2 linked regions of the Arabidopsis thaliana genome follow. The protein of the gene in region 1 interacts with the protein of each later gene in a pairwise test. Each region holds a gene or a part of one and is shown on either strand. Other genes may lie near its edges. The genes, in order: AT3G07090 and AT4G28330.

Region 1 (7,589 bases):
ATCAGCTTTTGGCCCAGCCCTCAGAGCGGCGTTTATGGTTATGGTTAGTTACCATCCTGACATATCAAGATAATATCATATAATTCATTTGATGTTGAGTGTCCTATTTAGATCCTCATCTGAAATGTGGATCAGTTTGTTGACTCTGTTTCTCTCCCTATTTCAGAACCAACTTGGGGGCAAGTTACTAATTTTCCAGAACTCATTACCTTCTCTTGGTGCTGGGAGGTTAAAGTTGCGGGGAGATGATCCTCGTGTCTATGGAACTGACAAAGAATATGCATTAAGGGTAGCTGAAGATCCCTTCTATAAACAAATGGCTGCTGATTGTACCAAGTTCCAGATAGGAATTAATGTTTATGCATTCAGTGATAAGTACACTGATATTGCCTCATTAGGTATGTGAACGTTGAGGTTATCAGTTGATGTTTTTTATTTCAGCTGTTTGGAGTCATGGGTGATAGTTAAGTTTATCAGCCTGTAATTACAATTCTTTGGTTTCTTGAAGGGACTCTGGCAAAATACACTGGAGGACAGGTGTACTATTATCCAGGTTTCCAATCATCTGTTCATGGAGATAAGTTAAGACACGAGCTTGCTAGAGACCTTACAAGGGAAACTGCGTGGGAGGCGGTTATGCGAATAAGATGTGGAAAAGGTTTAATAGTTTATGATAATATATTCGTTTTTGCTACCTGCTATGTCAATATTTGCTAATGCATTGGTGTGCTACTTGTGATCTTATATATTTTTGCATGCAGGAATTCGTTTCTCGTCCTACCATGGGAACTTCATGCTAAGGTCTACTGACCTGCTTGCTCTTCCTGCTGTTGACTGTGACAAAGCGTATGCAATGCAGCTATCTCTTGAGGAGACTTTGCTAACATCCCAGACTGTGTATTTCCAAGTGGCTTTGCTGTATCCTTGAATAGTTGATATTTTAAACATACTTGAGTTTAAACATACAACACATCATTTAGCTTTTAGTAATCCTTAACAGAACTAAGATATACCGCCTCTTGTGGAGAGAGACGTATAAGGGTACACACATCTGTTGCACCAGTGGTTACAGATCTTGGGGAGATGTATAGACAAGCAGACACTGGTTCCATTGTGTCTTTATATGCTAGATTAGGTAAGCTATATTCAAATTTTTTTCATATGCTACTTTTGATACTATTTAATGACAATTTAAATTCTGCAGCAATTGAGAAATCTTTGTCCGCAAAATTGGATGATGCACGGAATGCAATACAGCAAAAGATTGTTAAAGCCCTCAAAGAATATCGTAATCTTCACGCGGTGCAGCATCGCTTGGGGTCCAGATTAGTATACCCAGAGTCTCTGAAGTTCTTGCCATTGTACGGATTGGCAATTACTAAGTCCACTCCTCTTCTAGGTGGACCTGCTGATACTTCTCTTGATGAGCGCTGTGCTGCAGGCTTCACCATGATGGCTCTGCCTGTCAAAAAGCTATTGAAGCTTTTGTATCCCAATTTATTCCGTGTTGACGAATGGCTCTTAAAGGTTTGTGTATTTTTATCTCAATGTCCATTATCAAACATCAGTGTTCAAGAAATAGTAAATAATTTGTGAATTCACATGCTTGCAGCCATCAGCAGCCCACGATGACTTTAAAGACGTATTAAGGAGATTGCCGCTGGCTGCAGAGAGTTTGGATTCTAGAGGCCTTTACATATATGATGATGGTTTTCGATTAGTTTTGTGGTTTGGCCGGATGCTTTCACCTGACATTGCTAAAAATCTTCTTGGGGTTGACTTTGCAGCAGACCTCTCAAGGGTATGTATTTTTATCCACATATATCCTTACATATGAATATATGAACAGGCGGTACATTCGATGATGTATATGCATCATTAGTGTTTTTCAAGAATTTGAAACATGATAATATGTGTGAAACCCTTGTCTTTCTTCGTGTTGGGTCTCTTAGGTTACCTTTCAAGAGCAAGAGAATGGGATGTCAAAGAAGCTAATGAGGTTGGTAAAGAAACTGAGGGAGAGTGATCCTTCATATCACCCCATGTGTTTTCTAGTGAGACAAGGAGAACAACCCCGAGAAGGCTTCCTTCTCCTCAGAAATCTCATTGAGGACCAGATGGGCGGTTCGAGTGGTTATGTCGATTGGATTCTACAACTTCACCGCCAAGTTCAACAAAACTAAGATAGCTCACAATGGTAAGGAAAAAACCATCATAATACTTCCAATAACATGCTTAAAGTACCACATCATGTTCGACGCATCTTATGAAGCGGTTTTACTTTCAGACAACTCGGGTGCTAGGATGCCACCTCTTTGTAACCATTGAAGAACTCTTGAGCTCAAAAATCTTCTACTTAAGCAGGATCATGGCGGCCTTCTTCCTTGGGCCATAATGTGTTGTTTTGGATAAAGAAGTGCTACTTTTTGATTTTTCTTCATTTGTTTTTCTATATAGACCTTTTTTCTCAAGATTAGGCTTTTATTTGCCTAACCAGAATGGTTATCTCCGTAAGATTAGTCGTTTTTTAAATCTTTTGTTGCCTTTTTTTTTTGTCCTCATTCGATTTTTTGTTGATGTGCGTCTGTTCTAGATTTATTTTGGGAGTTGCAGTTCATGAATCTGTCCTAATTAGGGTTATTAACAAGAAGATGCTACTGTTAAAATTTTAAAATATTTTTATGAATAAATAATGTTGTGAAAACCTTAGATTTGGATGAAACGCATCGTTGGTATACATCGGTAAAGTTCATACATAAACAATACGGTGATTGATCGCTGTAAGACCAACTGTTCCTGCAATCACAAATAGATAAATTAGGATTTCAATTTTTAACTGCTGTAATTCTGATTCAAAGATTCTGGTCGGTTGAACCGGGACGGGGAAAATAGACGTGGCAATGTCTTATTGGATGGTACTTTCTAGAAGGTTACAGAATAAAAGCGGTCGTCGGTATAGGGGTCAAAGTAGCTTAAACGACGTCGTAGAGGAATCTTCGAATCTCCCAATAGCTTGCCTTTATAACAAACCTCTCTGAACCATTGCTATCCAAGAAATCTTTCAGATTTGCGCATATCGACAATTTTCCGAGCGGCCAGTTTACGTATTTTGTTTGTACGTGATCAAATCTCCCTCGCTTTCTCGCTATCAATTTTATCAATTATGTGTTCCCGATTGTTTCTAGATTTGGATTTTCTATTTGCGGATACTAGTTCTTTTTTGTTCGGAATCGATTATGGATTTGGTCTTAAGATTTGCGGAAATTCTTTTGTAGGTCTGATATAGTTTGTTCGGAATCATTCTTGTTGCTCAGGTCTTAGATCATTGCGATTGTAAATTTTGATTTTGATTTTTTTTTTCTTCAGGTAGTTAACGTGTTTCAAGGACTTTGACAATGGCTGAGGTATGATTCTCTTTTTTTCATTTCTGGTTCGTAGTTAATTGCGTTGCCTCGTTGTTAGTTTGATTGAAATTGGTGATATATGTGATATGGCAGGAAGCGCATAAGGTAACATTGAATGTCTATGATTTAAGCCAAGGCTTGGCACGCCAGCTCTCACAATCACTCCTGGGAAAGGTTATTGAAGGTGTATGGTGAGTCAAATCTCTGTCACATGTTCGTATTTGATCTGTTGTGTTGTATATGCCAAATTTGTTTTGAACATTTGTCCTGTGTAGTGCCATTCATAGGGTTTGATATTATTGTTTTAGCTGTTGAACATGGTTGCAGTTAACCCAATGTAAAAGATATTGGCATGACTGGTTGGTGTATGTAAATGTGTCTAAGCTTCTGCTTTTAATATCAACCGAGTGTGGTTTTCCTTGAGAAATATGAATTAACCTGCTTATTGTTTAGGTGTTTTGCTTTTTACTCTTTTAGGATATTACTTTGATGTTAAACCAGGTAGATAACATGTGAGTTATGTATCCTTTTTCCAGGCATACAGGAATAGTTGTCTATGGGAATGAGTACTTTTTTGGAGGAGGGATACAACATTTACCAGTTGGAAGAACTCCATATGGAACACCAATTCGAACGATAGAGTTGGGTCTATCACATGTGCCTAAAGATGTATTCGAGATGTACTTGGAAGAAATCAGTCCTCGTTACACTGCTGAATCCTACAATTTACTTACTCACAACTGCAACAACTTCAGCAACGAGGTCGCTCAGTTTTTGGTGGGTAAAGGGATTCCTGACTACATTCTCCAGCTTCCTAATGATGTTCTAAACAGTCCCATGGGTGGTCTTATAAGTAAGTCGCTGATAACTTGCGACACCTTCCTTGAACCTCTTCTTTCTCGGCTACATTATTGTTCTAATTTCATATCCCCATTTTGCAGTGCCTATGTTGCAAGGCCTCGAAACAACTCTAAAGGCTGGTGCTGTTCCTCAAGTTCCACAGTTTAGGCCACAGCCACAACCTTTTGGAGCTTTTAGTAAAGATGATGGCCCACAAATTGTGATAGCTCCTAAGCTCGAGGCAGCAGAAACCTCAACTGCAACTGAGAAAGTGCCACCTGTTATTCAACCATCAGCTAGTAAAGAGAAGGTCAAGGACGACCCGTTGGGTGATGCTAGGGCCAAGATTCAGGAAGAGATTACAAGCGAATTTGCAGCTCTAATGGCACAAGGCACATTACGAGCAAGTGAAGCAGCTGCTATGGCGACAAAAAGAGTCATGCAAAAGTACGGACATCTCAATGTAAACGCTTAGTGCAATAACAGAGAGATGAAACATTTTATTTTTACTGTCTTGAAACTAAGTCCAGAATCTTGAACGATTTCATTACACTATTGCCTTCAGCTGTATTTCGTGTATTATGTTCAACGATCTACAAATTAATTATCATAAAAGAGGAAAAGAGCAGTAAACAAGAGAAAAAAAAAAGATTTTACAAGAATTGTGGCTTTTGAATTTGGAACAATTTAGGCTTATACTACAGTCAGTGAAGAATCTACTCTTATGCTATCTGGCACAATCGGAGGAGGATCTGTGAACGAAGTCCCAGGTTCTAACTCAATAGCAGTCTCTTTGGATTTGCAAAACATCTCTGAGGGAATATTAATCCCTGCAAAGCCAACCATAACAGCTGCAGCACCAATGTAGTCGGTGAAGCTTGGTTTGTTCCCTGATAAGCTGTCTACAATGGCTGCCAATGGGACCTGAATAGTTAGCCCAGCTGTAGCTACAGTGGTTGTTGTCAATAGTACTGCCTTTGCCCACAGATAGTCACTAAGCACATTATCTAACAAACCTGCAGTTGTGATGAAACACACATTAGTCTTTCAAATCGGCATTCCTACATCAATCCTAATTTACTACTTGTGCCATCAATTCCCATTGATATGAGAAAATGTGATTTATTGACCAATAGCTTCAAGGAGACAATAGCGGAAATAAGGGATGGTGTTTGCATACCTTTGCCAACAACTAGGCCAAATTGTTTCAAGGTAAGTGCGTTGAAGCGTTCTCGCTTTGTGAAGTTGAGTATTAGAGCAGGAGGAAGGAAAATGAAGAAATTGAAGAGACCAAGAAACCCGAGGAACTGAGCCATACTGACCCGGCCGTTTCTTTCATCATCATCCGGAAGCTTTTTGCGTATAAGAGTGATGTAGACAGCATACAGCGCCGCTGAGACCAGCGAAAGAATATCTCCCAAAAGAGGGTTCTTAGCTACTGCATTTGACTTGGACTCTGAGTCACCCATACTTACAATTATAGTCCCAGACATACAAAGAAGAACGCTGAAGAGTTTCAACCATGTGAACTTCTCACCCAAGAATATTAGTGAAACAAGAAAGGTGAAAAGGCTTGATGCACTGCTTAATATGGTATTTGACTGCAAACACACAAAAATGAAAAAAAAACTTCAGCAAAACATTTAGTAGATTCAGAATAAGCAACAAGATGATGGGTGTCCAATATGTTCTTACCGTAACTGTTGTGTACTTGAGAGAGACATTAAATGTAAGCTGCGCCAAAAACCAAAACGGACAAATCACAAGGCTAACTTTAGCAACTCGCATCCTTGTCCAACGACCCTTCTCATCTAATCCTTTATTAGAAACTCCACTAGCTCCATCACTAACATTGACACTAGCATCAATCTCAAGCTCTATATTTTCCAATCCAGATTCAATCCCATTACCACCCTCACTAATCTCTTGCTCTCTCACAACAAGCCCTGAACTCTCAGTAGCATCTGATTTCACACCAGAAACATCTTTTCCAAGCAAAACAGCCTTCTCTGATTCGACCAGTTCCATTAAATGCGACCTTTTGCTTCTCCAGAACAATAAACTCCCATATGCATCTTCCAGATATCGACCAATCTCAAAAAGGGGAAGATAAACAACGAACAATGAATTACAAATGAAAGTGATCAAGAACGGAGAAACACCAGCTTCCACCACAGACTGGACTACAAAACTAGCCGCAATCCAAATCGTGGCAACGGCAAATAGGTATATCAGCCCTAACACCCATCTCCATAACTTTGTTGACATACCTCTTCGAATCTCAATTACAAAACACAGAACTTGAGCTCACCGATCTCACTGATTAAGATCAATCATACATTTTAACACGAATGCTTCAACACCCATGAATCAAAGATCTCTCTTGCAACGTAAAATTTCTCAAGGATAACAAAAAGCGTAAACGAGAAACGATCGGAACAAACCAATTGATCGGAAAAACAGGACACTACCTTCACAGCGACAGAAATCTAGATCGGCGTCAAATTGTTCAACCAATGGCGATTCAAAAGCGAAATCAGATATTTATTTACCAAAGAAAAAACAAAAAGGTATCGAATTCAGATAAACAGCGCCAATGAGAGAGCGAGAGAGAAGAGAGATTGGCGGATGTGAGTATGAATATGGGCTTTATTATCGGCCCAATATCGTTAAAAACATTTGTAGCCCAATTTTGTTTAATACACAAGACGAAAGAAACCCTATAACCTGAATGTCGTATTAAAGGACTTTCTTGTTCTTCTATTTAGACTTCTTGTAGTTTTGCTGAGTATTAGTCAAGACTCAAGAGACACGAACTCTCTCTAGTCTCTTCAATATTGATCATGCAGCCTCGTCAAAACATAGATCCGGCAAATGATTGGAACAGTCTTCGACAGGCTCTAGACATACAAGGAACCCAGTTCGACGAAACTTGATTAATTTATTACCAACAGTCAACAGAGCTAAAGATAAAGATACTAGAGTCAATTCCTGGAGTAGATATTGCTCGGTGTTCTTGCGTTGTACTGGCTTCAGAGTTTCGGAATCTGGCTTCATGTACTATATTGTGGAAGCAAATGTGCTTGGAAGATTTTGCTAATTCTGTGATTGAACAAACTGAATATATATATATTATTTTTTTGTTGGTTGGAAGCCTACGTTTGTTGAATGAATTCATGAAGATATGTATAGATTTATGTGTTGGTAAGCTATGGTATTGCTATTTAGCCCCTCTCTGTACAACCAGAGATAAAATTATGAATTATTTTGACTAAACACAAAATTAATTAATTGTACAAAACAACTATCAATTTATAATGTTAAGCTCGAGACCAAGAATAAGAA
Region 2 (6,787 bases), on another chromosome or scaffold:
AAGATTTGAAAAAATAGCTCGCTCAATAACGCTTTAAGCAAACAAGGGAGATACGAACAAGCAGAAGAAATTGAATAATCACAGACACAGATCTATGTATCTTTGTATTTATATTAGTTGTTTATTAGTTATTTAGTTTCACTGTATCTGAAACTTAAAGGACCCAAATTACTATATTTTTCTATTAATTTTTTTACAAAAAAATAATATTTTTCTATTAATTCTAATTTTCTTTTGTGAAAGAAGAAAATAGCTTGAAATAGCCCTTTTGTATTTTACCTTGCAAAAGGGACAAGGCATAATGTGATGTTTTAAAAAAAAAAAAATTACACAAGGTATGATTTTACACTCTATTTCGTAAGTTGAAATTACTTATAAAATATCTTCATAAAAATTGGATATTTATAAATAAAAAAATGGTTGAAGGGGAAAGAACAGAACTTGACCCACCAAAGAAGAGGAAAAAGCACAGGAATTAACCTGGTATTTAGATTTAGAACTAAAAGAGACTAATATGTTGTTGGAAACTTTAAAAGAAGGAATTTAATTTTGATGAGTATCACAGGAAAAAAAATACATTTGAATCTCTTAGGAAAAAAAATAAACAGGGCCACATGCGTTGGAGTGTCATCAACTTCAGATATTTGAGAAAAAATGTTCATTGTTCAATCATGTGATGTGAATTGTGAGCCCAACTCATTTAGAACATACAAAGGTTAATTCTGAGAAGACAAAACAAATCAAATAATTACATTTACATAGAAAATATTTAGCTTCTGCATAAATTCAACATATTCAGTAGCATATTTATTTCTTTGTTCTCTTGAAAATCACTTTTGAGGTGTTCTCCACGTTGTTTATGATGATAAAAGAGCATAGATAGGCTTGACAATTACATTTGTGGTAAGATTCTTTTTATCCTTGTTGTTTAGTCAAAATTGTATAAATTACAATGCTAAATTATGTGAACCTGTTCATCACAGTCGTCTCCGCTTTTGTATTTTTCTAATGTTTTGTTAAGTTCTTAGAATATAGGGTAACAGTACTATCTATTTTCTCTGTCGACATTAGAAAACTTGATGCGTGTGTGTGGTAAATACAATAATAAATAAATAGAAGACAGAAGTAAAATACTTTGAATGCTGTCGGTGACTGCTTTTATTAACAGTTAACACCCAAAGAGTCATTTTAATAATACTAAGGAACAATGTACAGTATTAAATTTTTTTGGATATTTTGCTAGCTATTTTTTGTAATGCAAAGTGTAAAGTTATGTATTAGCCATCTAGTTTTGCAATCAAATTAGTGTAAAGGAAAAAAAAAGAGAGATAAAAGCAGCCTTACTGCTAATTTTGGACCATAATCATTTAATTATTATATAGTATTAGTATATCTAAAGGAGAAACATTCAAACAGACCAATTATTCTTTTGAAGGCCATGTCATGATTTACTACCACCAACCAATGGCATTCGATAATATTTGAAGACAAAGCAAACCAAATCAAAGTAACAATACTAACAGATTTTTGAGAATTACTCATTGTGGATAAAGATTCAAGAGCATTGAGGATCGATTTACTCATGAAGGATCCAGAGCATTGAATGTATGTACATATTTTGTCAAATATTCATAATTATATCTTTGAATTATCGTATGAACTTTTATCAAAAAAAGAATTATCGTATGAACTATGCATTGACTTGGATTGAGCATCTTCTTACACTTGTTATTATTGCTACATTATGAAAAATTGGTGCAACTTATCATCTTTTAAGCTTTTTACTAACCAACTTCAGCTTGGACCATACCTAATCACATGCACTTCCTCCTTCAAACACAATTTATCGTCTGGCCTAGTAGATACTGTATTTAATACGTTGTCACTAAAACAGTTCTCCACTATATACGATAAAATGGGCCATTAATGGTAACCCGTAAGCCCCAATGGGCCTTCTAACCCATATTATAGTTCAGGTTTCAGAAGCTCTTCCATGGACAGAGACAGAGAATGACCGACAAACAAAGAGACCAAAAGAAGAATCTGTGTTCTCTCAAATAAATAAACAAAAGTAATGTAAATTACTTCACGTGTCGGTATTGTGACGTGGAAGCATTCTCTCTGACATCATCAGAAAACACATCAATCCAACAAAGAAGATCGATATTTTCAGATTCAAGAAATCAAATCTTGTTAAACTAAAGTACAAATAATAATGAGGAAAGATTTCAATATACTAGCTGTGAATGTTTTCGTTAATGACAAGAATTCAAAAAAACGAATCAAGAAGATGAAGAGTAAGAGTTAAAGAAGACGAAGTAAGCAAGAAGAGCACAAAGAAGAGCCACAAAGTTTCCTTCTTTAAGAAGAACCCTAAACACAAAACCAGCGATCTCTTTCGTCACTTTCCTTCCTTCAATCACCACTCTCTTCCTAGATTTTCCGGCGAACGCCATCGTCACCACCACTGATATCCAGATCACCACGATCGCAGGCACGGCTATGAACAGCGCCGCCGCCATAGATAAAACTCCGAACACCGCACCAAGAAGCACCGACGCGTAAATCGCAGGCAAACCAGATGATGTCTGATGATTCTCTCCGTACCAATTAACTATTGAATTCAACGAATTCCATGAAGAAGACAATAGGATCGCGTAGACTACAAGAAACAGACAGGCCCATGTTCTTCTCTTGCTTATAACTCTCAAAAACAACTTGTACGAGGTCATCGTCTCTGGTTCTTCCTTATCCGCCATATTTGAGAACACCAGATCTGATCTTATGATTCTGTGTCTGGTTTGGTGAAGTTATGGTATATAGTAAAAGAGCCTTCTTTTGTACAAGCTTCTTTCTTCTTCTGATTCCTTTTTTGGGGTGAGTGTTTGCGGTGAAGAATTGTGAGAAAAGGAAAGTGATCGTACGTTCTTTTTAGTTTATACTTAAGCCTAGTCGAATCTGATGTAACGTGAAGTACACGCTCTTGCTGATTAGGCTGTGTTTGTCACGTGCCTCTTTTATTAGCGGTCCAGTTAAAGTCTTTGCCTTTTCCTGCAAACTGACAGTTGGAGAGCTCTGTTTCCATTTTTTCTAGTTTCACTTTTGGCTCACCTCCCAAACTAACCGTTTCATAAACCAAAGTGATTAGTGATTAATTTGTGTAATACTTACACTGTTTTTCTTAAAAGTTAACACCCAAAAAGTCAATTTATTATGTAAGGAACAATGTATCAAGTTTTTTTGGGTATTTTGGAAATAGTTAATTTTGTATAATGCAAAGTGTAAAGTTGGTTATTAGCAATCTAAGATCTTGCGATCCAATTTACTAGTGTTAAGGAAAGAAAAAAGAGAGATAAAAGCTGCCTATAAGCTATAACTGCTAATTTTGGACCATTATAATTTTATTATTATATAGTATATCTAAAGGGGAAACATTCAAGCAGACCAATTATTCTTTTGAACTACCAACCAATGTCATTCAATAATATCTGAAGACAAAGCAAACCAATTCAAAGTAACAATACTTAAAGATGTTTGAGAATTATACTCAATTACTCATTGTGGATCAAGAGCATTGGAGTATCTTTTTGTCAAATATGCATCATTATTACTTTGAAAACTATGCATTGACTTAGATTGAGTACCTTCTTACACTTGTTATTAATGTTGTATTCTGAAGAATTGGTGCAACTCATCACCTATGAAGCTTTTTTACTTACCCAACTTCAGCTTGGACCATACCTAATCACATGCACTTACTCCTTACACAATTTTTCTTCTTCTTCGTCGTCACATTCACAATATATCTGTTTCACAATTACTAGGCTATCATCATCGTACTCTAGTATTTGGCATCTCACATAGTTTAAATATATTTATATCAAGTATTCAGCTGATAGAAAGTTATAAGTTAGATACTGTATTTAACGTTTTCACTAAAACAGAAAATGAGCCATTGATGGTAATCAGTAAAGCCCAAATGGGCCTTCAAACCCATATTATAGTTGAGGTTTCAGAAGCTCTTCCACGGAAGAGACAGAGAATGACCGACAAACAGAGAGACGACCAAAAGAAGAATCTGTGTTCTCTCTCAAAGAAATAAACAAAAGAAATGTCAATAACTTCACGTGTCGGTATTGTGACGTGGAAGCATTCGTTTTGACATCATCAGAGAACACATCAATCCAACAAAGAAGATCGATATTTTCAGATTCAAGAAATCAAATCTTGTTAAACTAAAGGACAAATAATGAAGAAAGATTTCAATATATACACACTTTTTTTTTGGTATCAATGTTAAGTTTAAAAAAAAGAAGACGCAAACATGCAAAGAAGGGAATCGAACTCAACACCCAAAACTTGCATGGGGTGTTGTACTATTTTACAACATATACCATAAGATAAGATGTCAATATATTAGTTATGAATGTTTTCGTTAATGACAAAATGCAAAAACTGAATCAAGAAGATGAAGAGTAATAAGAGTTAAAGAAGACAAAGTAAGCAATAACAGCACAAAGAAGAGCCACAAAGTTTCCTTCTTTAAGAAGAACCTTAAACACATAACCAGCAATTTCTTTCGTCACTTTCCTTCCTTCAATCACCACTTTCTTCCTCGACTTTACGGGGAACGCTATTGTCACCACTACCGATATCCAGATCACAACGATCGCTGGCACAGCGATGAACAGAGCTGCCGCCATAGATAGAACTCCGAACACCGCACCAAGAAGAACCGACGCGTAAATAGCAGGCAAACCAGATGATGTCTGATGATTCTCTCCGTACCAATTCACTATCGAATTCAACGAATTTCTTGAAGAAGACAAAAGGACCGCGTAGACTACAAGAAACAGACAGACCCATGTTCTCCTCTTGCTTATGACTCTCAAAAACAGCTTGTACGAGGTCATCGTCTCTTGTTCTTCCTTATCCGCCATATTTGAGAACACCAGATTTTCTTATGATTCTGTGTTGGAATTGAAACTTTGATTAAACCTGAAAAAGAGAAAAGCTTCAAGTGGGAAGAAGATGAAGAAAAGAGAAGAACCAAAAGCAAAGCAAAAGGAGAAGAAGAAGTTGTCGAAGAAGAAGAGTCAACAGAAGAGATGAGAAAGTCAAAGATGAGGCTATTGGGCTAGAGTGAAGCCCACATAGTAAATTAGTAATTGTGTGTTTTGGTTAGTAAATGGGCTATTATTAGAGTTGAGCCCAGATTTTGTGCATATGGTGTGCTTATAATTAAGCTAAGCTAGAGTAGCTAAAGAGTAGTTGTTAAGAGGAGTTGTGGTGTAAGGTTTAGTAGTTTAACGTTACTTGTGGTTTTAGTCTAGTCCTTAGGAATAATCATGTCTAAGTGGGAGTAGTTTTAAAGCTAGAATGTTAAGTGTGTGAATGTGTATCTTGTGGTGAAATACCACTATAAGTATGTGTATTGTGTCTTGTAGAGTTATCCTTGTGATCCATTAGTACAATGTAGACAACTAAAAGAAAAAAAAGAAAAAATCGTTTCTTGTGTTTCTCTCTAAACAATAACAAAAACAGAGAGTGTAACAATGAGAGAGAGACATAAAGAATGAGAGTTCTAACCTAGTGTAAAAGGGAGGTAACATTCGGTGTCTGGTTTGGTAAAGTTATGGTAAATAGTAAAACAATATTTGCAATGTTGCACACTGTCAACATCTCCCAAACGCACCGTTTCATAAACCAAAGTGATTAGTGATTGATTAGTAATACTTGCACTGTTGCACATAGTAATAAGAGAATATCAACTTCAATGTTTTTGAATTGAACAATGAACCTACCAAAAAAGTAGTTACTGTTAGGCATTTGACATGATGATTTTAGGATTAATATATACTAGGTCCTATTAATACTATGATGCTTACAGGTGACGAATAATTTGAGTTATGTGCGATATGTTTGAAAGAATTAAAGAGGAGAATCAAGAAGAAGATGAATATTTGACATTTCAAAGCTGACTTTTTTGACGAATAAGTTCATCATTATTCACACCTATAAATGTGGACAGCGAAATACCAAGTCCAACAATTTCACGATTAATTCCAAGTGGCTTGGATCAAGAAATATACAAAAACAAAATTCCAAATGCTTAGGAAAATAAATAAACGAGAGATCAAATTATCACGGCGGATATTATTTCGTCCACATTTGTTGTTCAAACAGATTTCTAACACATATAATTAGCATATATACATTAAACAACATTATCTCCTTAATAATTTTGACTCTGGAACAGATCTTTCCAGTTTCAGACAATATATTTGAACAATCGGTTCGTTGAATCGAGAACAAACCAATCAAATCTCTTTTGACAAAGCTCTTCTTCTTCTTCCCATAAAACTTCACAACGGCACACGTCTACGAAAAAACCTCTCTCAGTCATCATGTTCTCTAAAGTTTCCATTCTTCTCTTTTCCCTCGCATCCCTACTCTTGTTCCGATCAACCACAGGCATCGAATTCATCTACAACTCCAATTTCACCACAACCAACACACTTCTCCTCGGCAACGCCACTGTTAAATCTCCACCGTCGATCCTCACCCTCACCAACCAAACCACTTTCTCCATCGGACGTGGCCTCTACCCTTCAAGAATCAACGCCTCCTCCTCCTCTGCCTCGCCGTTACCTTTCGCCACATCATTCATCTTCTCCATGGCTCCTTTTAAACACCTCTCTCCTGGCCACGGCTTCGCCTTCGTCTTCCTTCCTTTCTCCGAAACCTCCGCCGCAAGCTCATCTCAGCATCTCGGCCTCTTCAACTT

Evidence for each region.
Region 2: the proteins of AT3G07090 (region 1) and AT4G28330 interact in a protein complementation assay, tested with the Arabidopsis thaliana proteins (one large-scale study listed by BioGRID).

The regions. Positions count from the first base shown.
Region 1 is NC_003074.8:2,240,283-2,247,871, reverse strand, and holds AT3G07090 (PPPDE putative thiol peptidase family protein), read left to right. Parts: upstream 1-3,043; 5' UTR 3,044-3,115; exon of another isoform or gene 3,116-3,275; intron 3,276-3,366; 5' UTR 3,367-3,395; coding exon 3,396-3,404; intron 3,405-3,497; coding exon 3,498-3,595; intron 3,596-3,940; coding exon 3,941-4,257; intron 4,258-4,345; coding exon 4,346-4,719; 3' UTR 4,720-4,874; downstream 4,875-7,589. Other genes in the region: ERMO2 (Sec23/Sec24 protein transport family protein), read left to right, coding at 1-43, 167-398, 509-658, 762-918, 1,008-1,135, 1,205-1,527, 1,613-1,801, 1,953-2,183; AT3G07080 (EamA-like transporter family), read right to left, coding at 4,938-5,260, 5,425-5,845, 5,940-6,512.
Region 2 is NC_003075.7:14,020,170-14,026,956, forward strand, and holds AT4G28330 (pyrroline-5-carboxylate reductase), read right to left. Parts: upstream 3,137-6,787; 5' UTR 2,760-3,136; coding exon 2,283-2,759; 3' UTR 2,111-2,282; downstream 1-2,110. Other genes in the region: AT4G28340 (pyrroline-5-carboxylate reductase), read right to left, coding at 4,461-4,940; AT4G28350 (Concanavalin A-like lectin protein kinase family protein), read left to right, coding at 6,408-6,787.